Linked DNA regions of Canis lupus familiaris. The protein of the gene in region 4 interacts with the protein of the main gene of each other region in a pairwise test. Links are inferred from orthologs where the notes say so. Each region holds a gene or a part of one and is shown on either strand. Other genes may lie near its edges. The genes, in order: CSF2, FKBP6, PAK1IP1, MEOX2, CHRD, TCEA2 and CNTNAP2.

Region 1 (3,973 bases), on a different chromosome or scaffold from region 4:
GACTCAATCCTGGGTCTCCAGGATCACACCCCAGGCTGTAGGCGGCGCTAAACCACTGCACCACCAGGGCTGCCCACAGGCCCAGGTTTCTGAAGGGCACAGGTGTTTTGCCTCACACTAGGGCAGGCCCATTCAGCCAGTGGCCAGCCAAGCCCCAGGAACCCCCAAGCCTTCTCAGGAAGTATGATGGCCTTTTACTGGAGCAAAGTTCCCACTGACCAGGTGCCTTAGACTTCCAAGTGAACCTGAAAGCCTCTTTTTGCAGTTGGAGCCCTGAGTATCCAGGGAAGCAGATCTAGGTGTGTGTGATGCAGCACCCAGGCCAACTCTTCCCATTCATCTGCTCTGCTCTGCCATTGGTGCCTCTCAGACAGTGGCCAACCTGCTAGAGCACCCTGCCCCCTCCCCAACCTTATGGCTCCTCTCCACCCATTGCTCTGTGGGGAGTACCATCAGCATTTGCTCAGGGTTGAAAACAAACTGGAAAGTGTACAAATAAGAACAGGCTTTTAATAATTTATTATAATAGTAAAATGTCTTGAATAAATACAGAGTATGATCTTAAATAAATAAATAAATAAATATTAAAATACATAAATATATAAATAAATATTACTGATCCCTGCCAGTATAAAACATTCCCCGCTCCCCATACCAAGCTGGTATCCGGGCAGCATGGCCCAGAGCAAGTCCATGCCCCCTCTACTGCCCTGGTCCACCCGGTGGTCCCTCAAAGGTGAAGATCCTGAGTTTCAGCAATCCATGGGTAGAAAGGCAGTGACTTGTGAGGTATGAGGTATGCTCTCAGGGCTGGCTTCTGGCTGGACTGGGCTGGCTCCTGGCTGGACTGGTCTGCCTCACTTCTTGACTGGTTTCCAGCAGTCAAAGGGGATGTTAAACAGAAAATCCTTCAGGTTCTCTTTGAAACTTTTGAAGTTAATATTCTGGGTTGCACAGGGAGATTCCTTAAAAAAATAAATAAGAACAATAAAACTTTGAGTCCAGGTGTGAGTGGGTAATGGGGGAGCACCAGGGTTTCTGCACTGCCCCTTAGAACTCAGAGGCCAGAAGGCCTATTTGGAGCCTGCCTGCTGACCTAGGTCAGATGATAGGTTGCCACCCAGTGTCACCCAAAGGGTACACAACTCTGTTAATAGCAGCCAGGCCCTGGGGACTGACAAAATGCCAACCCGAGGCTGGCCTGCTGGGCTGGGCAGTTGGGTCAACACCTCTTTTGCTCTTAGGCCAGCTGTCTAGAAAGGGGAGGAGTTAAGGCCACAAACCTCACTCTCCACAGGAAAGGAGTGTTTGGGGCCTTTGTTCAGTCTGGGTATGACTCCTTCCTTGCCCCATGCAATTAGGCACCTCACAAGGAGCCAGAGAGGTGGCACTTGGGCCCAGGAATATACCCTGGACCTTAGTTTCCTTGGGTTTGCCTCACCTTTGACCTCATTAATGATAGGACAGAAGTGTCTCCCACTAGGGACTGTATAGGCATCTGGAGCTCCATGGCTTTAACTCCCAGGGATGAAAATGGGCAGGGAAGCTTGCTCTGCTAATCATTACAAATTTGCTGACACCAAAACCCTTTGGGGTCTTTAACGGCTACAGCCAAAGGTCCCTCCTTATCCAGTCCTCCACCCTCCTAGACCAAAATTTTTCAGCTTTAGGACCTGACATGGGCACTCACCGGGGTAGGGGGACAGTGCTGCTTATAGTGATTGGCCATCATGGTTAAGGGATTCTTGAGGCTGGTGAGGCTGCCCTGCAGGCCCTCCTTGTACAGCTGTAGGCGGGTCTCCAGGCATGTTGGCCCCTGTGGAGAATGTCCATTCCTTGGTGAGTAGTGGACAGGTGCCCTCTGGTGGGCATATGACACTCTTCCTGTCACTTTTTCCTGTCCTCAGCCCTGTCCCCCAAGAGCAGAACTTGGGAGGGGCACAGGATGATGCTAGGTCCAGTCATACACGCAAAAATGAATCTGCACCATTCAGCTCAGGCCACCCTCAGCTAGCACAACTACATTCCCTGGCATCTCAAGAGGGTCCCAGCCCCCACGAGAGGAGATCCCTATACCCTCACCATTCAGGGAGAAGGTAGCAAGGGTGGGGCATCTCCTCCAACCTGCTATGTGAACAAGGCTTGTTCTTGAAATCTCTGTGCCTCTCTGTAACCAACACTCTGTCTCCACCGAGATTAGTCTCATGAGTCCCCCAAGCTCACAGCCCTGTGTCTTGAAGTAATTCCCACTTCACCTACCTGTCCCCTGGTGACCCCTGGCCCCTTGAATGCTAGGTCTGTCCATGGCTGCTCAGTTAATGAAGGAGTTCACATGACTGCTACAGGCGCAAGGCCAGTGGCCTCCCGAGGCCCCTCTGGACAGCCAGCTGACTGGAGAAAGTGGACTGACCACCCTATGAGAGTCCATGTGAAATGGAGCCACCCCCCCCCTCACCCCCCCACGGTAGAGGTCTCTGGGAAGGCATGTCAGAGAGAAGCATCTTACCTCAGGGTCAAACACTTCAGAGACCACTTTTACTGCTTTATTCTGTAGAAAAACAAAATACCGTTTTATTAAGCTGACAGGCAGGGCCAATCCAGGCACAGACTGCAGTCCCTCCCTCACTCACCATCACAGCAGTCACGTCATTACTGTTGTTCAAAAGGCTCAGGGCTTCCTGGATGGCATCCACGTGCTGAGAGGGCCGAGTGACAAGGGTGGGTGAGCGGGTGGGTGCAGAGATGCTGCAGACCACAGTGCCCAAGAAAAGCAGGTTCTGCAGCCACATCCTCCTGAGGACTTTAGCCTTTCTCTCTGAGTACTGGGCTCACTGGCAAAAGAGCTCTTATATACACAGTTAGAGGAAATGATTAATGGTGACCACAAAACGCCAGAGAGGCGGGGGAACTACCTGACCTGTGGAATCTCCTGGCCCTTATCACACATGGGAACGGTGAGCCTTTCCTCCAGGTGGTCAGGCTCAGGGGTTTTCATTAATGAGCCCTTCCAAGAATTGGCAGTGCATCCGCCTGCCTTGTTGAGCACTCTCCAGCCCTCCCTGGGTAGTTTGGCCAGTGAGGCTGCCCCCTCCCTCTGAGGGGCCTCTGGGCACAGCGTGGACTTCCTGGCCTGGAGTGGCCAGGGAGGGGCCTGGGAGATACTAGATCGAGCTCCTACACCCACGCTCTCCACCCTGCCTCTAATCGCAAGAAATCTTTGGGCTGGCTGTGCCCACCCTGGGGCCCATTCCAACACCAGCCTCCCCTTCTCCTCCTAGATCCCTCTCCTCTGGCCACAGCGAGAGATCTGAGTAGGAAGAAGACATTCACAGGCCTGTACACTGTCCACCTAGGCAGAATCCAGCCAAATGGCATAGTCCTGCGACAGCTCCCAGCAAAGATCCAGAGTAGTGGCAAGCTCTTCCCATCAGGGACCTCTGCTGCATAGCCCCTGTGTGCAGGGAGAATGACAAGTGTGTACATATCACATCCAGCCAGCAGGATTGTAGAGTGTTCCTCATGGTAAGGTCCCATCTGACAGCAATAGTCAGAGTTTTCACAGCTGTGTTCAACCCCCAAGCTGCAGGGGTGAGTTGGGGCTCTCAGTGGGAGTAGTGAGGGCCCTCAGCTCAAGTTCTGGCTCTAGTATCACCTTGCTAAGTGACTCTTCCCCCTGAGCTCTGTGAATCTCACCACTCTCTGTAGTCCAGACCACTCTTGTGAGCTAGGTACCGTGCTCCTATGTGTAGCCCCTGGCTATCCCCCCACCATTCGGGAAAAAGGTAGCAGGGTGGGGCATCCCCCCCCCCCAACCTGGTGGGCACATCTCACAGGTACGAGGAGCTTCGGGGAACAACGGCTTCTCGAACAAGGTCTTCCAAGCTTAATTTTTACATGGCCCCTGCCCCAGCACATCTCCAGGTCAGAGGCCTCTTCTGTGGAACAGGAACTGCTTCTAAAAAAGCCACAGGCT
Region 2 (3,500 bases), on a different chromosome or scaffold from region 4:
TTAGATTTATTTATTTATTCATGAGAGACAGAGAGAGAGAAGCAGAGACCTAGGCAGAGGGAGAAGCAGGCTCCTCGCAGGGATCCTGATGTGGGACTCGATCCTGGATCCTGTGATAACAACCTCAGCCAAAGGCAGGCATCCAACCACTGAGCCACCCAGGCATCCCAAGAACAGTGGTTTTCAACTGGTGACAAGTAGGGAGGAGTAGCTTAAGAACAAGACCCTTTTTACAAATTACATGGGCCCACCTATTTTAGGATGCTTACTTTGGGGATAGGCAGTGGGGAACAGGGAGATGGGAAATGATCCCGACTTAGTCTGGAGGTCTGCCCCACCTTCTCACTGGGAGCTGTTGGTTTAGCGCTTCATAAAGCCAGCTCTAGGGGGCGCTGCCTCCCAACACATGCTAGGCAACATTTCCAAACCATCCTTTTCCCAGATGGTCACTGGCCTCTTTTTTTGGTTTGCACTTCTGCAAACAGGTCTCACCTAGCCAGTTTCTTCAGTTCATTATTGATATCATGATTGAAGGGTTGTTCCTTCTGGGCTCGCACTAGAAAATCTCGGGCCTTCTCATACTCAGTCATGAAAAGACAGGCCTGCAAAGGACAGAGTTTTAAAAACATACTTGGTTAGGAAAGAGCATTTTTCTAGTGCCCAAGTTGAACATCACTGCTTTCTTTTCTTGGGTGCTTGTTCTCAAGTCCCTGGCCTCCAACACACCTGTCCACACCGGAAGAGGGCCTTAGCATTCTTCTGGTCAATGAGCAGAGCCTGTTCTCCATAGCGCAGAGCCGTGGTGGGTCTCTCCAGCCTCAGGTATGTAAAGGATAGGTTAAGGAGAACAAGAAGCTTAGCTGCTTCCACCAGGTGCTGCTCTTCAGGAGGAGCTGATCGTCGGTGAAGAAGCAACAAGGCCTGTGAAGAAGGAAGACAAATACTCAAGATGAAGTACATAATATTATTGAAAGCCCTAAGAATCCAGAAAAAAAATACTAGAGGTAAAAAACAAAAAACAAAAAACAAAACCAAAACCAAAACTGAGCTCAACAAGTTGCAGGACACAATTTCAATATATGAGAGTTAGTTGCATGTCTCTAATCTAGCAGTAAACAATCCAAAAATGAAGACTACAATTCCATTTACAATAGCATGAAAGGAAGCCACAATAAATTTAAATTGCAAGAATTGTATGTTAAAAACTACAAAATACTGAAGAAATTAAAGATGATCTAAATAAATGGAAATACATCCCCCCCCCAAAAAAAGAAATACATCCCATGTTCATAGATCAAAAGACTTAATATAGTTAAGAAGGCAATAGTCTCCAACTGATCTACAGATTCAAAGCAACCACTACCAAAATTTCAATAGCCTTTTTTGCAGAAATGGTCAAGCTGACCTGAAAACTTGCATGCAAAATCAAGGGATGCCAAATAGCCAAAATATTTAAGAAGAGAAAATGGAAGACTCACACTTTCAAATTTTAAAGCTTATTTACAAACCTATAGTAGCAAAGCCAGTGTGGTAACAGCATAAGGAAACACATAGGTCAATAGAACAGAACTGACAATGCAGATTGAAAATCCAAAACAAACCCATACTTCTGTAGTCAATGGATTTTCAAGAAGGGGACCAGCCCCATTCAACAGGAAAGAGTAGTATTTTCAATGAAAGGTGCTGGGACAACTGGATGTCAACCTGTGAAAGAGTGAGGTTGGATTCCCACTTCAAGCTACATAAAAAGTTAACAAAATGGATCATAGACCTAAATGTAGGAGCTAAACTGTATCACTCTTAAAACATTAGGTTTAAATCTTCATGACTTTGGATTTGATAATGGCTTCTTAGAAATTACATGAAAAGCACAAATCTCCAAAAGGAGATTAAACGGACTTCAAAAGTAAAAACTTTTGTGTTTTGAAGGATGCTATCTGAACACAAATAAAAAAATAAATTTATTATTAAAAAAATGAAGGATGTTATCAAGAAAATGAAAAAAAATGAAGAAAAGTCACTATAACCATCATTTACTGGTTTAAGCTGATAACATAATGGTTTACTACTGTCATTGTCCAAACCTACAGATAATTCTGTATTTTTTAATAAAAAGATATTCTACATTCTTGAAAAGAAAAAAAACATGAAAACACAACTCACAGAATGGGAGAAGATATTTGTAAATCATATTTTAAAAAAACCTAGTATACAGACAATATAAACGAACTTTTATAAGAATAAAAATACAGAAAACCCAATTAAAAATGGGCAAAGGATATGAATTGACATTTTTCCGAAGACACGCAAATAGCTAATCAACACATTAGTTATCAGGAAATGTAAATCAAACTTATGAGATATCGCTTCACACCCACGAGATATGGCTAGAATTTGAAAGATGGAAAATAAGTGTTGGTGAGGTTGTGGAGTAATTGGAACCATCCTACCATTGGTGGCAATGTGAAATGCTGCAGCAACTATGGAAAACGGTTTGGCAGTATTTCAAAAAATTAAACATGACAGTTACTACAGGACCTAGCACTTGTGCTCCTATGTACAAACCCAAGGAAAATGAAAACCTAGGTCTACACAAGAACTTGTACACCAATGTGAAAAGCAACATTAATCATAATAGCCAAAAAGAGGAAAAAATCCAAATGTCCAGTAACTGATGAATGAACAAAACATGGAAGGATCCACATGACATACTGCTCAATCTTAAAATGAAAAATTTGGTATATGCTACATGGATGAAACTTGAAAATGTTATGCTAAGTGAAAGAAGCCAATGACAAAAACAAATACTGTAGGACTCCATTTATATGAATACCCATGGTACACAGACAAATTCCTAGAGGCATGAAGTAGAATAAAGATTACCGGGGCTGAGCAGCCCAGGTGGCTCAGTGGTTTAGCACCGCCTTCAGCCCAGGGTGTGATCCTGGAGACCTGGGATCGAGTCCCACATCAGGCTCCCTGCATGGAGCCTGCTTCTCCCTCTGCCTGTGTCTCTGCGCCCCACTCCCACCATCTCATGAATTTTAAAAAATCTTAAAAAAAAAAAAAAAAAGATTACTGGGGCTGGAGGAAGGGGGAGAATGGGGAGTTTTGTTTAATGGCTAAACAATGTGTGGGATGAGGATAAAGTTCTAAAAAGGGTAGTGGTGATGCCTGTACAACACTGAATGCACTTAATGCCACTGGCCTGTATATCTGAAAATAATTAAAATGATAAATTTTAGGTGATGTTTTTACCAAAATTAAAAGATAAAAAATTTTAAGACAGAATGGAGTATTAATACACATTACAACATGAATGAACCTTGAGAATATTTTGCTAACTGAAAGAAGCCAGGCATGAAGCACGATACATTTGATGATTCTATTTTACATAAAATGTCCAGGAATAGGCAAATCCATAGACACAAAGTAACATAGGGGCTACCAGGGCATGCTGGGGGAATGGAGTGTAACTGCCAACACGTATAGGGTTTCTT
Region 3 (3,500 bases), on a different chromosome or scaffold from region 4:
ATGTTAACTTGACTTGCCAGTGGTCACAAAATAATAGAACTAGAACTCAAACCTAGGTCTAGAGCCCATGTTTTTAACCGTTGTGTGCAAGTAAATATGTATGATGAGAAGGTGAAAATGGAGGTTGGGGTGACTGGAGAAGTAGATGGGCCAGGTCCTGGGTGGCCCTTGAGAAGAGGAGGTTAGGGATTGAATGGGAGGGAGGGGCCCTGCAGGCTTGACAACGTGCTGGCACCCAGGATGTGAGAGAGATGCTGAGCAAGAGCAAGCAGAAGACTGATGAGAGTCTTCTCTGTTGAAGCTGGAGGCTATGAATCGAGTAACATCCGTTTGCATTAAGCTCAGACATTTTTGTAGGGAGCAGAAAAGTACTTGGTATGTGTAGTAGGAGGCTTGATTTACAAAGGAATTCAGGATTTTTGGTGAAAGAAGAGATTGTTGGGCTACAGAAGGTGGGGGGGGGGTGCTCTGAATGGTCTATAGATCTCTGAAACAATAAAGCAGGTAAACTGTGAGTGAAGGGGGCCTGGTAGGGTTGGTGAGAGATGAGGTTGTGGGCAGGGATGAGGTTCGTAAGAGTTCACGAGTTGTGATGTGCAAGCAGCTCTAGGTGGTAACTATGTCCCGGGGTGTACGCATCAGGGACTGAACCAGAGAGGGAGGCGAGGCCACTGGAGTTGAGGAGGTCAGGGGTTGGTAATGCTCAGGTCATGCCTGGGTTTTCCTCGGCGCTGGTGAAGTTGTCCAGGGTAGTGGTAGGATCAACTAGTAGGCCGAATAGGTGTGTTTTTTTCAATATTGAACTCCATGCTGTTTTTACTGTATTTCCCCAGGGACAAAGAATGGAGGCTTAACACGTGTTCCAGGAAAGGGGCAATGGAAAGGAAGAACTGAAAATCGTAGCCCCGGTTAGACGTGCCCTTAGCTTGGGGACACTCCGTCATGTTGGCTTCCTGCAATTAAAGCCAGATGAGACTGCCACGCATTGGTTCTAGCAGTGAATTTGGAGTAGTCAGTGTCTGTCTTAGGTCCTTAGCTACTTTGACAAGCGTTTCCCTTTCCAACAGAAGCAAGGCTTTGATCGAATTCAACATGCGTTCTTTTTCCATTCTGTCTCATCCAATCCCAGTTCACACAAGAAAGTCTTCTCTCCCCCTTGGGTGTGGAAGAAATAGTTAGACCTGGTCTGCCTGAAGCCACTGGCAAGGTGTTCCACAGTTGGAAAAGGACTGACTGAGAAGGAGCTAGGATGGGGATGAAGTACAGTTCCTATTTTTCTTCATTCCTTGTGGAGTTCTTGCCTGTTTGTTTTTGTAAAAGAAATTTCTTCACCTAAGACTTTAAGGTATATTTCAGTAATATTAAGACGTTAGATGTTTTACTTTTACCACAGTGTAGCCTTCAAACCAGAAATGGAGTTTGCATTCAAAATGAACATTAAGTCTGCCTGTCTTGGTTTTTCCACAGGCACAATAACTTGCCTGAAATTCTACGGCAACAGGCACTTAATCAGTGGGGCAGAAGATGGACTCATTTGTGTGTGGGATGCAAAGAAGTGGGAGTGCCTGAAGTCGATTAAAGCTCACAAGTGAGTCAGGCCCCTTCCCCACTGGCGGTCTCTAGGTGCCAGTGAAGTTGGGGTCTAACTGTTGGTTTCCTTTTAGAGGACACGTGACCTTCCTTTCTATTCATCCGTCTGGCAAGTTGGCCCTCTCTGTGGGTACAGATAAGACGTTAAGGTAAGTCGTTAATGCTGAGAGCATCTTTTCCGAGTTGTGGTCTTTGTTCTCTAAGGACAACAGGAAGCTACCATCAGTATATTTTAGTATAATAGATTCGTTTTCTGTCTTGTCTCATTGCCGTCAGCTACTGAAAGGTATTGAACCTTTTCACAACGGTAGAGAAAAAAATGACAGGCTGTGTTCACTCGTACATAGTATATCCCAATCGTAAGCTGTGAAGAGGACGGTGGTCCTAAAAACAAATGTTTTAGGAGGTAAAATCTTTTGAAAATAATGTTAAACATTTTAAATATATTAGAGAGTACGGGAATGGATGAGTTACTCTTGCTTGATAGTAAATATTTCCAGTGTTGCTGTAAGAAACATATTCTAATTAGCTTCCTGTGTAGTCAATTGTTGTTTGAGTAAGTCTTCATTATGCTTACCTTTACGCCTAGTGTAAGTGATCTGTAAGTGAGCTGCTTATTTTGCAGAACATGGAATCTTGTGGAAGGAAGATCAGCATTCATAAAAAATATAAAACAGAGTGAGTACTTTTATTTGGAATGTTTTTTATAACTTCATGGAATATGAGTGTATGTACATCCACATATACTTTTATTTCCCTACTTGATGGTGGTTACCTCCTGGGGCAATAATTTAGGTTACTTTCCTTTCCCATTTTATTTATTTATTTTTCTATCTGTCTTAGAGGTTTTTATTTATTTGAGAGAGAGAGTCTGTACACGCAGCAGGGAGAGGGAGAAGCAGACTGTCCTGAGCAGGGAGCCTGATGTGGGACTCGATCCCAGGACCTGAGCCGAAAGGACTGAGCCACCTAGGTGCTCTCCTTTCCTTTCCCATTTTAGATGGGAATTCTCGTCATGACTGTCACCTACCAGGTCTATGACTTAATGATTCTTTGAATCCAGTTCATTTTCTAAAACTTAACTTGTAAAATATGTACCGAAGTTTGTTGTGAAGGGATAGTGGATGTGAAAATGCACAGTGCAATCATTTACTTTTTTAATAATTACTCTGATCATTTCTTTTTCTTGTTTATGAACTAAAAAAGCTTAGTGTTTTTAACTTACAGATGCTCACATAGTTGAATGGTCCCCAAGAGGAGAGAGATACATAGTTGTCATCCTGAATAAAATAAATGTCTATCAGCTAGACACTGCGTCTGTTAGTGGCACCATCACAAATGAAAAGAGAATATCTTCTGTTACATTTCTTTCAGTAAGTGACCAGAAATCAGTGATGGGATTTTAGTGTATATGGTGATGGTTGGACTTGTTGATGACATTCTGGATATTCTTTTTCCCTCTTATAGGAGTCTGTCCTTGCAGTGGCTGGAGATGAAGAAGTTGTAAGGTTTTTTGACTGTGATTCACTAACGTGTGTCTGTGAATTTAAAGCTCATGAAAACAGGTATTTTCTTTGCCAGTCTCTATGTGCATCTATGTGTAGTTTTCATTAAGTGTTAATGTAGGCAGTAGTTTCATAAAACAGTGTCCATGTTTTCTCATGAACAACTGCAGAGATAGACATTTCTACATAAATATTTTTGGGGAGAGGATGGTGGAAATGTTGTCTTCTTGGCCTTAAGTTGTACAAAAGTGGGGATATTGGTATCAGGGCTAGTGATTTGCACAAGATATTTTTCCAGTAATATTATTAATCTTGGGGCTTGAAATCAACCATATTTGAAGAGGAACAAAAAAATTAAACAATGTTGAGCTTTGCCAGGACCTCTCTTTTACTTATTCCCACTTC
Region 4 (3,500 bases):
ACACACACTTTTATGTATGCTTTGTCTGACCTTGAACTGACTTTTATGGTCCAGTTGCTAAACATTCAAATTGCTTAAATATTCACATATTAAGTCAACACTTTTTTTCTTAGGAATTAAAGAGTTCAATCATACCTAGATCCCAAGTATACATATTAAACAACTTATTAAACGCAATTTTACATCCGAAATTGTTTTCTAGAGGTGGTTTATTTATTTATCTTTTTATCATATTAAGAGCAAATACATTTTTTGTTCATATTTTGAAAGAATATTAGACACTTTGCCAATTAGGCTGAGTCACAGGAGAGCAGATCGAAAAAGTAAGAAATGTATCTTATCCTGTTGTGAGATCAGTCTTCTGTCTTTGCTCTCTGTTTCTCCATATCTAACATAGTACCTGAAAAAGTAGTTATTCAGTAAATGCTTCTGGTATGAATGATATGATTGTATGCATTTGAATGAATAAAGTCAATTTAATTCTCTCTTACATTCCCCCCAGATTCCCAGGAAGGAAATTACAAGTCAGAAGTCAATAGCAAACCCAGGAAGGAAAGGACAGCTTTTACCAAAGAGCAAATCAGAGAACTTGAAGCAGAATTTGCCCATCATAATTATCTGACCAGACTGAGGCGATATGAGATAGCAGTGAATCTGGATCTCACTGAAAGACAGGTAAAGTTGGACATTGTTGTGATATGGTATTTTTAATTGTGTTGAGTCAACAATCTTCTCTCGCCATTTTTGAAATATCTAGATCTGTGGTTCTTAAATGCCATTTGTAAGATAGGTGTTCTGTTCCATGATGAAGTTTTGGCACGGCAAAATGGCAAAATTAAGGATAAGATAGCAGTGTTTTTAAGGAAAACTACATTTATTCAGTTTAAGGTATCATTCTTTATTCTGTATTTGTGTCCTTCCTATATATTTTGGTTTAAAATAGTATTTCTTGTATATAATGATGGCATATAGTGAGCAATTCTTTTTTGCTTATATTTTAAAATCTCCTTATTTTGGTATAATAGAAAGCCAGCAACCCCATATTAGTTTCCTCTATTGCTCAGGACAGGGTTTGCTATGTTGCTGTAACACATTAACCCCCGGACCTCCATGACATAACAAAAAAGTTCACTATTTGCTCACTCTCCATACTAACTTTACAAGTTCAGCATTATAAACAATCAGTCACTCACGGACCCAGGCTGACTCTCTGGCATCTCAACATGTGGTGTCCTTGGTAACCACAGGAGGTAAGAAAGAGGTGGAGGTTCATGCACTGACCTTTAAATGTTTTCACCCGGAAATGACCCATGTCACTTCCATTTATACTCCAAGGTCCGGAAATCATCCGTGGTGCCACTTAAGTTCAAGGGGGGCTGGGAAATGATGGGAGCAAGGGCCCATAGGTCTTTCGTAAATATTTCCCAAATATTTTTGAACTGATATTGGTCTCAAAAATTTAAATTTCTGACATTGACTCATTTAGAGAACACTTTGCAATTATGAACGATCTGTGGACTCCAGTTGATAAAACCTAAAAGGTCCTTTCTTGGATTTTACTTGCTCCAGTAGTGCTCCCAGTGCATTCTTTTTATGGATTCTGATTTGCCCTGGGAGAATCTAGCTTACTGATGGTTAACAGTTGCTAATCTTTAGGAAAACATTCCTGAAAGGCAAATCCAAACATCTTTATGGACAGTGCAGTTATGATTGGCACTCCTAGGACTAGAGTCTCATTTCCTTTCACTGTATGCACCTCCTCCAGGGATCCCATCAGAACCAAAGAAATACCAACAGGGTGTGGACGTATGAATACTATCTTAGGAGAGCAAGTTATTTTATCCAGTTTCTTAAATCATCTGCTTTCCTTCTGTTAATTTCTGGATTTCAGCTTTTGTAGGGTATTTCTGGGGATTGGGAATATAGAGAGAGACACTTTTATGTGGTTTTATTTATTGGCAGTTTATATTTTATTAAATATTATGACTAGTGCCTAAGTTGTGAAGCACAACATTTTCTTTCCCTTGAACTTCACAGACAAACTCCTCTCCATAAGTGTACAACATTTGGCATGCTGGAAAGGAGAATCCAAAATCTACATTATTGGACATCTGTTTTATTTTCATTTTTTTTAAACTGGGAGCAGATAAAAAAAGAAGGGAGGGAAAGAATTACATATTTTAATGTTCTTATCCATAGACAGTGAATTCTAGGAAATGCAACCATGTTTTCTATGGTACAAAAAGGAAACAAGCTAAGACTTGTTTCCAAGCTATAGAAATAATGGGATGCAGTACTATACTCTTAGCCAAGAGGGAATGTGAAGATTCTGTGCTTGCTATTCTGGGGATGGCTTTGGTTACCTGTGATTATCTGATTATAAAGCAGAAGTTTCCCTTATGGTTTAAAATAATTTCTTTTAGAAAAGCAATTCTATAAATTTGGTCTGGCAATTTTTTAGGTATTTTGGATATGTCTTCCTGAGTTGTCATTTATGGAAAAGGATGATATGTAATTTTAAGCAAAATACACACACATACAATTCTAATCTTTGTTTTTGTTTATCAAAGGTCCCTTTTCAATTTTGTTATCAGTTAGCCTTGACTATGTAACAAACATTCAAAAATCATAGTGGTTTCAACTAATAACCGACATTCAATTTGCTCACAGTTTTGTGGGTCGGGGATTTTGACTGGGCTCAGTTGGATGGTTAAGCTGCTTACCTTACCTAAATCTCCCATAGAGCTGTAGTCACGTGGCGGGTTTGGGTTTGAAGAGCTGGTTGGTTTAAATAGTCTCAGCTGGGACATTTGTCTCTGTTGTATGTGGTTTCATTTTCTTCTAATAGGCTCTCTGAGACTTTTCAAATGGGGATAGAAGCATTGTCAGGAATAGAAGAAAAACTCCAATGGACCAAGGCTTTCAAGGACTCTCGTTATCTCATATTTACTGATGACTCATTGTCTAAAGCAAGTCATATGACCAAGCACAGTGTCAATGTAGAAGGAGACCATTTAAGGAATGGATATATGGAAGGAAGGTGACATTTGCTGGAGGCCGTTACCGAAATGATCTAACTATAGTGTCATAGGGGAAAAAACAAACAAACAAATCTTGAGATATAATTGGATTTTGAAAGAATTGAAATTTTATATCGTGAAGATTTTTTTATCCTATAAATCTTTATTTCCAGTTTTTCAGATTAATATGAAAAGGAGATGCATACATGTGGAATCTAAATTCCTAGTCAAAGTTAAGTCTTCAGAGGGCCACTATGTGACAGTGAGAAAAATTGAATTATTATGATAAAAATTTGAATAGAACAACTAGATTTTCCATTGGAATTTGGATTCTTAGGCAAGTAACAATCTCCCTAAGTCACAAAATGGAAATTAAAGCTAACTTCTCTTGCTTCTACTCAGGTTTATGTGTTATAATGAATATGAAAGAATTTCTAGCATAAACTGAAAAACACAACTGTCAATCAGAGGAAGGAAAAC
Region 5 (4,200 bases), on a different chromosome or scaffold from region 4:
GTGTCCCTGTCTTAGGAAAGACAGCTGCTGAACCTCCCCCGCAAATACCTCCTGCTGGCCCCCCTCTTCCTTTGGCCCTGGCTCTAGTTCCTTTGCTTTCCCCTCAGTCCCAGTCTCCTCACAGTCTCTGTCCTCAGGGGCCTCCTGGCCTGACCTTGTTCCCATCACCCCCACCCCAGTTCTTCCCCTCCTCCCAAGGATGGGGCTGTCAGCTAAGGAGTATGGCCTAGATCCCGGAATTCTCCAGTTCAGCCAGACAAGATGCCTCCCAAGATTAGGAAGGAGGGTGCTGGGGTGGTTGGGAGGCTGGTGGGTGGTTGGGAGGCTGGTGGGCAAATGGGTGTGGGAGGGGACAGGGAGGCAGTCATGACCAGGCAACCAAGACAAAGGAGGCTGGGGGTGCGGTGGAGAGGCAGAGGGTCCTCAGGGGTGATGGGAAGAGGGTGAGAAAGGATGTCAGGCTGGGGACAATGATGGTTGGATGGGCCTGCGGACAGGTTACCGACAGGGAAAGAAATACTGGCGCAGACTGAAAGGGGACTCTTTCTGGCTAAGTCCCTGTCCTGTGGAAGAGTAGAGTGAGGAAAGATCTCAGCGAAGAGGTAGGGACACAGGCCAGGCAGTGAGTGTGGGTAGTATGGGGTTTGAGAGGTGCTGTGGGCCCACAGTAGGGGAGATCAGTTGACGGGCCTTTCCTGCACGTTGTCATCCTTAAAAGAGGAGTCTTCATCCTTCCGGCAGGAACCGAGCACTAGCCCAGTGGCCGGCCCAGGCCTCAGGCCCAGCCTCTGCCCCTCCCTGGCCTGGGGCTCCCGTCTTGGGCCGGACACGCACCTCCCGGTGCAGCCGCCCTGTGGCCGCCAGCAGCGGGGGGCTCCAGACCCGCCTCTCCTCCCCTCTTCGCGCCCCCTGGTCCCTCCCCTCCCCCTACCCCCTTGGCTCCCCCTTCCCCTCCAGCCCCTCCCTCCTCCCCTGCCCCGTCCCAGCCCCTCCCTCCCCTCCCCCACTCGCGATCCGGGCCGCTGCTGCTGGGCCGGACCCCCCGGGCTCAGCCCGGCCCCTCGCCGAGCCGCCGCCGCCGCCCCGTTTGCTGAGGAGGAGGCCCCCGGCCGGGGCGCCGGGCGCGGGGCATAAAACGGGCCAGAGCCGGCGCCCAGGGCACTAGAGCCGCGTACGGCCCGGGTCAGCGCCCGCCCGCCCGCGCTCCTCCCGGCCGCTCCTCCCGCCCCGCCCGGCCCGGCGCCGACTCCCGCCGCCCGACGAGCCCCTCGCCGCACTGCCCGGGCCCTGGCCCCGGCCCCCTCCCGCCGTACCGCCCCCGGCCCGGCCCTCCTCCCACCTCCCTCCTCCCTCGCCTGCGCCCTCCTCCCTCCCGCCTCCCCAGCTGTCCCGTTCGCGTCATGCCGAGCCTCCCGGCCCCGCCGGCCCCGCTGCTGCTCCTCGGGCTGCTGCTGCTCGGCTGCCGGCCGGCCCACGGCGCCGGCCCCGAGCCCCCGGCGCTGCCCATCCGGCCCGAGAAGGAGCCGCTGCCCATTCGCGGAGCGGCAGGTAGGTGGGCGCCCCGGGGGGCGCGCGGGCAGAGTCCCGCTCGGGGCAAGTCCGCGCCCGCCCGGAGGGGGCGCCGGGCGCAGGTGGCTCAGCGCGGCGGGCGGCCCGGGGGGGCGGGCGGGGGTCGGGAGGCGCGTGGTGCGGGGGCACCCAGGGCCCGGCCGGCGGTGCCCAGGGCGGGCACGCCGCGGGAGTGGGACAGCGGCCGCCAGCCAAGCCCGTCCCCGCAGGCTGCTCCTTCGGCGGGAAGGTCTATGCCTTGGACGAGACGTGGCACCCGGACCTGGGGGAGCCCTTCGGGGTGATGCGCTGCGTGCTGTGCGCCTGCGAGGCGGTGAGTGGATCCAACTGCCGGGGAGCTGGCCGGGGCCCTGGGGGGTGGGGAGCGCTCGGGTCCGGGATGTCGGAGTGGGCTGGCGCTGCTGAGGAGGAGGAAGCGAGCCTGCAGGTATATACACAAATGTATAATATATATTTTTCTTCTGGCGGAGAAAGTGGGGAGGAAGTGCCCCCTTCAAGTCTCAGGTGTTGACTGTTATTGATCACCCACTATGTGTCAGGCTCTTTGCCAGCGGTTTCCTTGGTCTCTCACTTAACTCCTAGAATAATCCTACTAATTACACACTATTACTGCCCCCATTTTCCAGATAGGGACCTTAAGGCCCAGAGAGGTTAAGTAGTTTGTCTAGGGTCACGCAGCTTGTAAGAAGCAGAGCGGTCCTCACTCCATGGGATGACCTCGCTCTGGTCCTGTGGCCCTCCCCCGCTCGCCCTGGGTCCCACCAACTGGCGTCTTGCACTCACTCGCTTTTCCCATCTTCCCTGCAAGCAGCCTCAGTGGGGTCGCCGCGCCAGGGGCCCGGGCAGGGTCAGCTGCAAGAACATCAAACCCGAGTGCCCAACCCTGGCCTGCGTGCAGCCGCGTCAGCTGCCGGGACACTGCTGCCAGACCTGCCCCCAGGGTAAGACCCGCTCGCAGTGAGGGGAGGACCGCAGGGCAGTGATACTTGGTCCTGCGCCACGCGGCTGGGGCGGACGGAGCAGATGGAACCGCCAGCTGGCTCTCCGAGTGCCCAGCCGAAGCCCGTGTTTCCCTTTTGCCCGGCTTAGAGCGCAGCGGTGCCGAGAGGCAGCCGACGGGCCTGGCCTTCGAGTATCCGCGGGACCCAGAGCACCGCAGCTACAGCGACCGCGGGGAGCCGGGCTCCGAGGATCGGGCGCGTGGAGATGGCTACACGGGTAGGCAGGGGCCAGGCAGCAGCTGGATTCGTGGTTGCGGCCCGGGCTGCCTGCTGTAGCGGGTGACGGTACTCGGGACATCTTTTCCTCGCAGACTTCGTGGCGCTGCTGACGGGGCCGAGGTCGCAGGCCGTGGCTCGGGCCCGAGTCTCTCTGCTGCGCTCTAGCTTGCGTTTCTCCATCTCCTACAGGCTGTGAGAAAGGGGAAGGTGGGAGGAGGGGTCAGCTGGGGACTGGGGAAGGAGAGTTGGGAAAGGCTGATGGAGCTGCTCCTGGACTAGGCTCAGAGCCCATGCTCACACGACCTTCATTCCCAGGCTGGACCGCCCTACTCGAATCCGCTTCTCAGACTCTGCTGGCAGCGTCCTGTTTGAACACCCTGCAGCCCCCACTCAAGATGGCCTGGTGAGATGATGCCATTTATGAGTGCTTATCCAGTCTGGGCATTGTACTGAGAGTGTGTTCTGCATTGCTTCCTTTGGTCCTCACAACAGCCCAGTGAGAGGAAGGCACTGACATTATGATGCCCGTTTTACAGATGAGGGAACTGAGGCTCAGTAGCAGAATGTGATTTGCTCAAGGTCACACAGCTAGTAAGTGGTTGAGCCAGGATTTGGACCCCAGCATCTGGTTCCAAGGCCCCTTCTTGAGCTTCCTAGGAGGGCTTGGGGGCCCCTTCCCATAGTCCTTCCTCACCACAGTTGGGCCTCCCTGCTGGCCCGTGTTGCATGCTGTCTAAGTAGGGCCTTCCTATCTCTCTGCTCCAGGTCTGTGGGGTGTGGCGGGCAGTGCCTCGGTTGTCTCTGCGGCTCCTTAGGGCTGAACAGCTGCACGTGGCACTTGTGACACCCACTCACCCTTCAGGGGAGGTCTGGGGGCCTCTCATCCGACACCGGGCCCTGGCTGCAGGTGAGGGGAGCATATGGGTCCCTGGGTGTGAAGTTCTGAGTCTTCTCTATTCCCAGGAATGGAGTGGGCTGAGGAGGGGACTTTCTGATGGGCTCTCCTGGTCCTCCCTCCCCCAGAGACCTTCAGTGCCATCCTGACCCTAGAAGGCCCCCCCCAGCCTGGCATGGGGGGCATTGCCCTACTCACTCTCAGTGACACAGAGGACTCTTTGCATTTTTTGTTGCTCTTCCGTGGACTGCTGGAATCCAGGAGTGGGGGTAAGTGGGATGGGGCAGGCGTGAGGAGAGTAAGGAGAGCACCTCTCTCTGAGGCATCCACATGCGTGGCCATTGCAGGACCAACCCAGGTTCCCTTGCGGCTCCAGTTTCTACACCAGGGGCAGCTACTGCGAGAGCTGCAGGCCAATGCCTCAGTCCAGGTGAGTGAGGGGCTGGCTCTTGCTGCCCCCTGCTCTGGCCTCTTGCTGCACCCACCATACCTTGCTCTGTCTCCAGGAGCCAGGCT
Region 6 (2,186 bases), on a different chromosome or scaffold from region 4:
CGCCCTGGCCAAGTCGCTCATCAAGTCCTGGAAGAAGCTCCTGGGTGCGGGCCGGCGGCGGGGCTGACCGCCCGGGCAGGGCATCCGGGGAGTGCTGGCCCTCGCCGGTCAGCGGCGTGCTGGTGCTGGCGGTGCCGTCCCCGCGCCCGGGCCGCCGGGCCCCAAGCTGGTCCGGGAAGGCGGGGGGTGGCTGGGAGCAGAGGGGACCCACCGGGAGCAGGAGAAAAGGAAGTTGAAGGTAGTAGCAGGGCGGCTGGGGCCTGGAGGGAGCTGGCGCAGGTGAGGAGGCCCTGCTGAGGCCGAGGGGTGCGGGGGAAGAAGGGGACACGGCCGGCTGCGGGCAGGCCCACCTTGGGGCCCTGGGGGTCCCCTCCCTTCCTGCGCCTTCCTGGCTCCGTCCAAGCCCATGGGGTGTTTGTCGTGGGACTCTAGTCGGGGTGGCTGTCAGCCCACGTGTGCACAAGCGTGTTTATTCTGGTCGTGTGGGGGCTGCTTCGCCTCCTGTGGGACGGTCCCCAGCGCGGACCAGGGTTTCAGGAGCCTCGTGGGGGATGTGCTCAGCGGACGGCCGCTCGCTGTGACCCCCAAGGCCCAGCTGGGGAGTGACCGCACCTGGGCTTTGTCCGGGTTTCAAGCGCTGCCTGTGGGGGGGCTGTCACTCGGGGCTCTGCACCAGGGTCACTTTGGGCAGGTGGCCGTCCTTTCTGCCAGGACGGTAGACCCCAGGGAGGCCTCACAGGTGGCCTGTGCGGGGGTAGAAAAGGGCCTGGGGGCTGTCCTGGGCCCTTCTGAGGAGGGAGGATGGGGCCCCAGTGTGCAAGGCTCGACCGCCAGGTCCCGGGGCCGGTGGAGATCTGTTCCCCTCCCTGGCCCAGCCCCACTAGCCAGCGCTCCCTTTCCTGGCACCTGCAGATGCTTCAGATGCCAAAGCCAGGGAGCAGAGGAGGGCCGGGCCTCCGCCCACATCGTCCTCCAAGGAGGCCCCTGAGGCCAAGGATCCCAGGTAGCGCATCTGGGGGGCAGGTGCACACCCTCCTGCTCGGCAGGTGGCGGGTCCTGGCCGCACAGAGAGCCCCGGGGGCCCCCACGGCCACCCCACAGTTCCACCTCCTGGGCGTGGTTCTCATTCCGCTCTGGCCGAGCCCCCTCAGCTGGTGTCCCGCGTGGCTGAACCCTCTCCCCGTCAGTGCTCCGGGCAGGCAGTCATGGAGACGGGGTGCTCTGGGGGTGCTCCGGGGGTGCTCCGGGGTGGGTGTGGCCGTAGGCTGCTTTGCCGTGGGCAGGGGTGGCAGGGCAGCAGGGGCCAAGCTCCGCGCGCAGCGTGTGCTTGTGCTGGGCTAGGGCTTCATCTACCGGCTGCGGAGGTTCCCTCCAGGAGGCCCCTGCTCCCCGTCGTGTGGGGGTCACAGGGTCACGAGACGCAGGGGTGTGCGGGGAGGGGAGGACTGGGTACCTGCGGCCTGGTCAGCAGGCGGCTTGCCAGCAGTGCCCAGCCCGTCGGGAGGCATCCACGCCGGGTGGGGCCGCCTGCCTCCCCTGAGATGGCCTGGTCCTGGCCGCCTGGAGGGCGGAGGCCCCTGCGGGCGAGGCTGCCCCAGTGGTGCCCCCATCCGGGGGTACGCCCCGCCCAGTGGGTGTTCCTGCCTCCAGCCCACTGGGCAGTCCCCTCGGGGCAGGAGCATGGGCAGCATCCGGGTGGGAGATGCAGGGTTTGGGGCTTTCTGGGGACCGGTGTGTCACGGGGGTGCCCGTGGCCCGCGCGGGCCCGTCTTTCTCCAGCCGCAAGAGGCCAGAGCTGCCCAGGGTGCCGTCGGCCCCAAGGATCACCACGTTTCCCCCCGTGCCCGTCACCTGTGACGCCGTGCGCAACAAGTGCCGCGAGATGCTGACCGCCGCCCTGCAGACAGACCGTGAGTCCCCCGCCCGCCGCCCTGCACCCTGAGTCCGCAGGGGCTGGACTCCGCCTGCCCACAGCGGCCTGAGCTCAGAGGGTTCTCGGGGACCTCCTCCCCCAGCCCTTGCAGCTGAGCCAGGTGGGGGCAGGGGTCTTTGGGGCCTCAGGTGCTGGGCAGTTTGGAAGTGGTGGTGGAGTCAGGGGGCAGCTAGTCAGGGCTGCTTCTTGCAGATGATCATATGGCCGTTGGTGCGGACTGCGAGGGCCTGTCGGCCCAGATTGAGGAATATAT
Region 7 (4,230 bases), on a different chromosome or scaffold from region 4:
TTGCTGGCGGCAGCGTGTGTTTGGTGTGCGTGTGCATATACGCATGAGTGTGAATTAATTGCACATTGAAAACATCTGCATTAGCGGCGTCCGCAGTCCCCGCCGCTCGGGTCGGGATGCTCAGCTCGGTCCCTTGGTGTTAGGACCACTCGGAAGACCTGCTGTCGGGCGCCCGGTGCTGGTTCCCGGGGGGCAGGCCGAGCTCCGGGAGCCTGTACCATCTCCCTCTGCAGGGGAGGGGAGGAGGGAAAGAGCAGGCCTCCGAGCCCAGGGGTTCGGTTTCCCCGCAGCTGGGTGGGGGTGGGGGTGAGGAGAGGGCGGCCGGGGTTGGAGCCGGGCTCCAAGATCACCCCGCAAATTCCCAACTTCAGCACCGCCCCCCGCCCGGGGCAAGGCGCGCGCCCCCTGGCTCGGCGCCCCCCCCCCCCCCGCCCCGGCGCACGGACGCGGGCCCGTGGGTGCCTTCTGGCTCCCGCTCGCGAGCGCAGGGCAGAGGGGTGGTGACAGCCGGAGGGGTACGGCGAGGAGGAGGAGGAGGGGGAGGAGGAGGAGGAGCCGGGGTGGGGACTTGGAGGGGGCGAGGAGGGAGGGCTTCCCCGCCTCGCCCGCCGCCCGGCTGTGCAGGCGCTGCTGGCGGCGGCGTCTCCAGCTCGGTCTGCAGCTCTGTCTGCAGCTCGGTGTGCAGCTCGGTGTGCAGCTCGGTCTCCAGCTCCGTCTGCAGCTCGGTGTGCAATTCGGTGTGCAGCTCGGTGTGCAGCTCGGTGTGCAGCTCGCTCTCCAGCTCCGTCTGCAGATCCGTCTGCAGCTCGGTGTGCAGCTCCGTCTCCGGCCGCTGCTGCGCTGCCCGGGCGCCGGGGCGATGCCGCCGCGCTGAGGCCGAGCGTGCGCCCTCCGTCCCTCCTCCCTGCGCCTCCCCCCTCCCGCCCGCGGGGCTGCGTGCCCCCCGCGCACCGGCTCCCGAGCGCCGAGTGCCGAGCGCGAGCCCGGGGCGCCGGGAAGCCCCTCAGACCCGCCCGCCCGCCCTGCGCCGCTGCATCATCCCCAGCTCCTCTGCTCTGCCTCCGCGTCCTATGCTGATTTTTTATTTTTTATTTTTTTCTCTCCTGCAAGAGAGAGAGGGAGGGAGGGCGGGGTAGGTCCCCTCCTCCGCTCCCCCTCCCTTCCCTTCGCGGTTTGAATTTCTTCCCCCTGGCATTTCACTGGCTCCCGGAGCGAGAGGCAGCAGCCGCGCGGAGGCAAGAGGCAGCCTGCGCCTCCCCGGGCTCCCGGCCCGGGCCGAGCTGGAGCCTGCAGGGGCGCGGGGGGAAGAGGACGCCGCGGGAGGGGCCCTGCCGTCGCCCGCCCCGCCCCGGAGCAGCGCCCGGAGCAGCCCCCGGGGGCACGGCCGGCGCCTCCGCAGCGAGCCCAGCGAGCTCCCCGAGTGCCGCGCGCCGGCCGCCGAGGATGCCGGCGGGCCCGCGAGCCGGCTGCGGGGCGGCGCTGCCGCTCTGGATCGTCGGCAGCATCCTCTGCAGAGCCTGGACCGCCCCGGCCGCGTCCCGTAAGTAGCCTCCGCGAGCGCCCAGCCCGCCCGGGGCCGCGTCGGGGTCCTCCCGGGCCCGCCACCTGCGTGCGCCGGCGTCTCGCAGCCGCTGCCGCAGGGAGCTCCGAAGCCCGGGGCGCCCCGGGGCGCTGGGGGGCTTGCAGGGCGGGGATGGATGGATGGGGGGGGGGGGCGGTGGCGCGAGGGCTCTGGAGGCTGCTGATGCTTCTGGAAAGTTGTCCCCGGCCGTGCAAGGGGGGGTTGGCAACTGCTTGGTTGGAGTGACGAGGCCGGGCGACAGCTTCTTAGGAGTTACTCCTCCACTTCGGGGTGTTTGTTGTTGGAGGGAGTTCGGGGCTTTGGGCTCGGGTAGGTCGCTGCAAGAAAGTGAAGGCTGGGGCAAAAAAAAAAAAAAAAAAAAAGTTTCTTGTTTTTGCATATGGTTTTGACTTCAAGACGCACGGGTTGCGGGGGTGGGGGTGCAAGAGGAGACCATTTGGAGCAGTTGGGGCACCGCGGACTTCCCTTACCCGCCCACCCCCAAAAAGTTAATGACCACTTAGTACTTGCTTCTTGGAAGGGGAAGACAGTGAATGCAGCGTGCTGGCTGAAATTGCTTTGATTTTTGGCACTTTGGGGGTGACACAGCCTAGGACTCGGGGCAGGCAGGGCAAACAGGCCGTGGGGAATGGATGTAGTCATGAAGGCATCCCTAAAGAGTTCTCGGGGAAAGGATGCTGTTCAATATATTCAAGTCTTTGTGTTCCAGCAGGCTCCCCCCCCCCCCTTTTCTTTTTAAAGAAAAGGTTGCTCATGTTTTCATGCGGTTAGCAAGAGTAGAAAGGAATAGAAGATTCCAGCCCATCTTCTGAGTTGCTTCAGAAGTGCATCCTGTGCATCTAGAGAGGAGACGCATGATCGCTCCTTTGATTCAGAAAGAGTTAAACCCTAGAGAGCTTGCCCGTGGGAATCTCAGGCACATAGTGCTGGTCTGTGAGAATGAGCTACTTATTAAAGAATAACGATGGAGATTTTAGTTTGAAGTGTTTTCCATTTAGAAAAAAAAAAAAGTTTAGTGTTTTCCAGAATTCATTGTATGTGTGGTCCTATCTCCGCTGATGAGGTCTTGGGATGCATTGATGCATCTTTATCTATACATTAATATTAATGTTCTTGTTCCGGGGTATACATATTAATAAGAATAACCGTTGAAAAAGGACTTGATAAGTTGTGCTAAAGAATCTACCCCACAATAATGTCATGTGATGAACCGCTATTGCAGTTTTGACATGTTTTCCCAAGTATTGTATTTGCTTCTCTTTTCTTGCAGTATAGGAAGTCACTAAGTGGCAGTGTGTAATGGACTTGAAAAACATTTTTGTAGCTTTTTCACAAACGGACTGAACCTCAAATAAGTGATACATTATTAACATATGTATTCCGGTTTTATATATTTAAACAAATTTTGAAGACAGTGCTCAGTATTAATATTATGTAAATATGTGACTACATCCGGAGAAAAGTAATCTGATGAAATTTCGATTTCCATTTCAAGATCTGGTCATATAGAACTAACTGCCGCTTTTTTTCAGAAATTAAATCGATTATAAATTAATTATATTCACTGATTAATGGCTCTCATATCCAGGATTTTTCCTGAGTTTTATATTGCATCTTTATGTATACATTAATGTGATGGATCCCTCTGAAACATTTGCCATGTATCAAGAATGAATGGCACACATGCAGCCACGGGGTTAATGTTTTTTAAGAATAGAAAAGTTGTTGCCGAGATATATTCCTAGCTTTTACAACTTAGTTAGAATTAGATGTTGGGGAAGAGCAGAGAGTATTACTTTTAAGGTAGTTGACACTTATGTCTGATTAAGATGTATTTATTAGCTCTTGCTCTTATTCTTTATTGTTTAAATATGTAAAATGGCTTAATTGAGATGACTTTTTGTTTCCTTTGAATTTAAATTGTCTGACTAAAACCCAAAGTTGCCCCGCATCCTGGAAATCAATTAAATGATAAGAATGATGTGGACTTTGTTGACTAGAGTGAGCTTCACAAATTCAGTACTTTAAATTATAATTTGACACTTAATGACAATTTGTATTTATATTTATACAACTCTGAGAAAGAGGGAGAGTTATATTCTTAATACTGAAAACGCTCAAAGGAGAAAAAAATCGGTAACTACATGAATCTAAGATAATGAACAACTCAACCAGGAGAGGTCATCACAAGACAAAAAGTAGCATGAAAATCCAAACGTAATGTTTTTATTTGCTACTCATTTTTAAAAATATGACAGTGCTAAAACTTTCTGTCCCTTGATAACTTTTTAACATGATGGACGTTTCTAGAAAATGCAGTTAATATTTTTCATTTGGCAACAGTACCATTTTAAATATATATTTGCTTCTGGCTTATTTCTTTTTCTCTATTATTGAAATACATATAAAAATGGTGTTACTGCTAATACTATGTTTTCTATAGCTGGACTAAAATAAATTTAAAAAGCTCATTTCTAGGATTAAGGAGAAATAGAATCTAATTGCTTGACAGTGCAGATGAGCTGCTGCTGAGCTGATGGAATCATACCACCTCTCTTCTTGCAAATGTGCAGATACAGGACGCATATGTAAAGAGTATATTTTTCTCTTAGGGAGTTGCACTTATTTGAACATACTGGAAAGACGCT

What was found.
Region 1: the proteins of MEOX2 (region 4) and CSF2 interact in binary tests that used the Homo sapiens proteins (3 or more experiments, as listed by UniProt). The two-hybrid records come from large-scale screens. The link is inferred for Canis lupus familiaris from reciprocal best matches to the Homo sapiens genes MEOX2 and CSF2.
Region 2: the proteins of MEOX2 (region 4) and FKBP6 interact in binary tests that used the Homo sapiens proteins (3 or more experiments, as listed by UniProt). The two-hybrid records come from large-scale screens. The link is inferred for Canis lupus familiaris from reciprocal best matches to the Homo sapiens genes MEOX2 and FKBP6.
Region 3: the proteins of MEOX2 (region 4) and PAK1IP1 interact in a two-hybrid assay, tested with the Homo sapiens proteins (2 studies listed by BioGRID). The two-hybrid records come from large-scale screens. The link is inferred for Canis lupus familiaris from reciprocal best matches to the Homo sapiens genes MEOX2 and PAK1IP1.
Region 5: the proteins of MEOX2 (region 4) and CHRD interact in binary tests that used the Homo sapiens proteins (3 or more experiments, as listed by UniProt). The two-hybrid records come from large-scale screens. The link is inferred for Canis lupus familiaris from reciprocal best matches to the Homo sapiens genes MEOX2 and CHRD.
Region 6: the proteins of MEOX2 (region 4) and TCEA2 interact in binary tests that used the Homo sapiens proteins (3 or more experiments, as listed by UniProt). The two-hybrid records come from large-scale screens. The link is inferred for Canis lupus familiaris from reciprocal best matches to the Homo sapiens genes MEOX2 and TCEA2.
Region 7: the proteins of MEOX2 (region 4) and CNTNAP2 interact in binary tests that used the Homo sapiens proteins (3 or more experiments, as listed by UniProt). The link is inferred for Canis lupus familiaris from reciprocal best matches to the Homo sapiens genes MEOX2 and CNTNAP2.

What each region holds. Positions count from the first base shown.
Region 1 is NC_049232.1:20,337,846-20,341,818, reverse strand, and holds CSF2 (granulocyte-macrophage colony-stimulating factor precursor), read right to left. Parts: upstream 2,796-3,973; 5' UTR 2,790-2,795; coding exon 2,631-2,789; intron 2,549-2,630; coding exon 2,507-2,548; intron 1,817-2,506; coding exon 1,691-1,816; intron 966-1,690; coding exon 858-965; 3' UTR 501-857; downstream 1-500. UniProt on the Homo sapiens protein: Cytokine that stimulates the growth and differentiation of hematopoietic precursor cells from various lineages, including granulocytes, macrophages, eosinophils and erythrocytes.
Region 2 is NC_049227.1:6,771,471-6,774,970, forward strand, and holds part of FKBP6 (inactive peptidyl-prolyl cis-trans isomerase FKBP6), read right to left. Parts: intron 922-3,500; coding exon 727-921; intron 603-726; coding exon 493-602; intron 1-492. UniProt on the Homo sapiens protein: Has an essential role in spermatogenesis. It is required to repress transposable elements and prevent their mobilization, which is essential for the germline integrity.
Region 3 is NC_049256.1:11,740,265-11,743,764, forward strand, and holds part of PAK1IP1 (p21-activated protein kinase-interacting protein 1), read left to right. Parts: intron 1-1,467; coding exon 1,468-1,588; intron 1,589-1,664; coding exon 1,665-1,739; intron 1,740-2,215; coding exon 2,216-2,268; intron 2,269-2,817; coding exon 2,818-2,963; intron 2,964-3,057; coding exon 3,058-3,155; intron 3,156-3,500. UniProt on the Homo sapiens protein: Negatively regulates the PAK1 kinase. PAK1 is a member of the PAK kinase family, which has been shown to play a positive role in the regulation of signaling pathways involving MAPK8 and RELA.
Region 4 is NC_049235.1:30,321,203-30,324,702, reverse strand, and holds part of MEOX2 (homeobox protein MOX-2), read left to right. Parts: intron 1-502; coding exon 503-675; intron 676-3,500. UniProt on the Homo sapiens protein: Mesodermal transcription factor that plays a key role in somitogenesis and somitogenesis and limb muscle differentiation. Required during limb development for normal appendicular muscle formation and for the normal regulation of myogenic genes.
Region 5 is NC_049255.1:17,423,760-17,427,959, forward strand, and holds the start of CHRD (chordin), read left to right. Parts: upstream 1-1,400; coding exon 1,401-1,548; intron 1,549-1,778; coding exon 1,779-1,882; intron 1,883-2,377; coding exon of another isoform or gene 2,378-2,380; coding exon 2,381-2,510; intron 2,511-2,658; coding exon 2,659-2,787; intron 2,788-2,881; coding exon 2,882-2,981; intron 2,982-3,104; coding exon 3,105-3,192; intron 3,193-3,198; exon of another isoform or gene 3,199-3,380; intron 3,381-3,554; coding exon 3,555-3,696; intron 3,697-3,812; coding exon 3,813-3,953; intron 3,954-4,031; coding exon 4,032-4,114; intron 4,115-4,190; coding exon 4,191-4,200. UniProt on the Homo sapiens protein: Dorsalizing factor. Key developmental protein that dorsalizes early vertebrate embryonic tissues by binding to ventralizing TGF-beta family bone morphogenetic proteins (BMPs) and sequestering them in latent complexes.
Region 6 is NC_049245.1:48,355,514-48,357,699, forward strand, and holds part of TCEA2 (transcription elongation factor A protein 2), read left to right. Parts: coding exon 1-44; intron 45-912; coding exon 913-1,003; intron 1,004-1,779; coding exon 1,780-1,910; intron 1,911-2,125; coding exon 2,126-2,182; intron 2,183-2,186. UniProt on the Homo sapiens protein: Necessary for efficient RNA polymerase II transcription elongation past template-encoded arresting sites.
Region 7 is NC_049237.1:3,928,193-3,932,422, reverse strand, and holds the start of CNTNAP2 (contactin-associated protein-like 2), read left to right. Parts: upstream 1-1,430; 5' UTR 1,431-1,443; coding exon 1,444-1,540; intron 1,541-4,230. UniProt on the Homo sapiens protein: Required for gap junction formation. Required, with CNTNAP1, for radial and longitudinal organization of myelinated axons.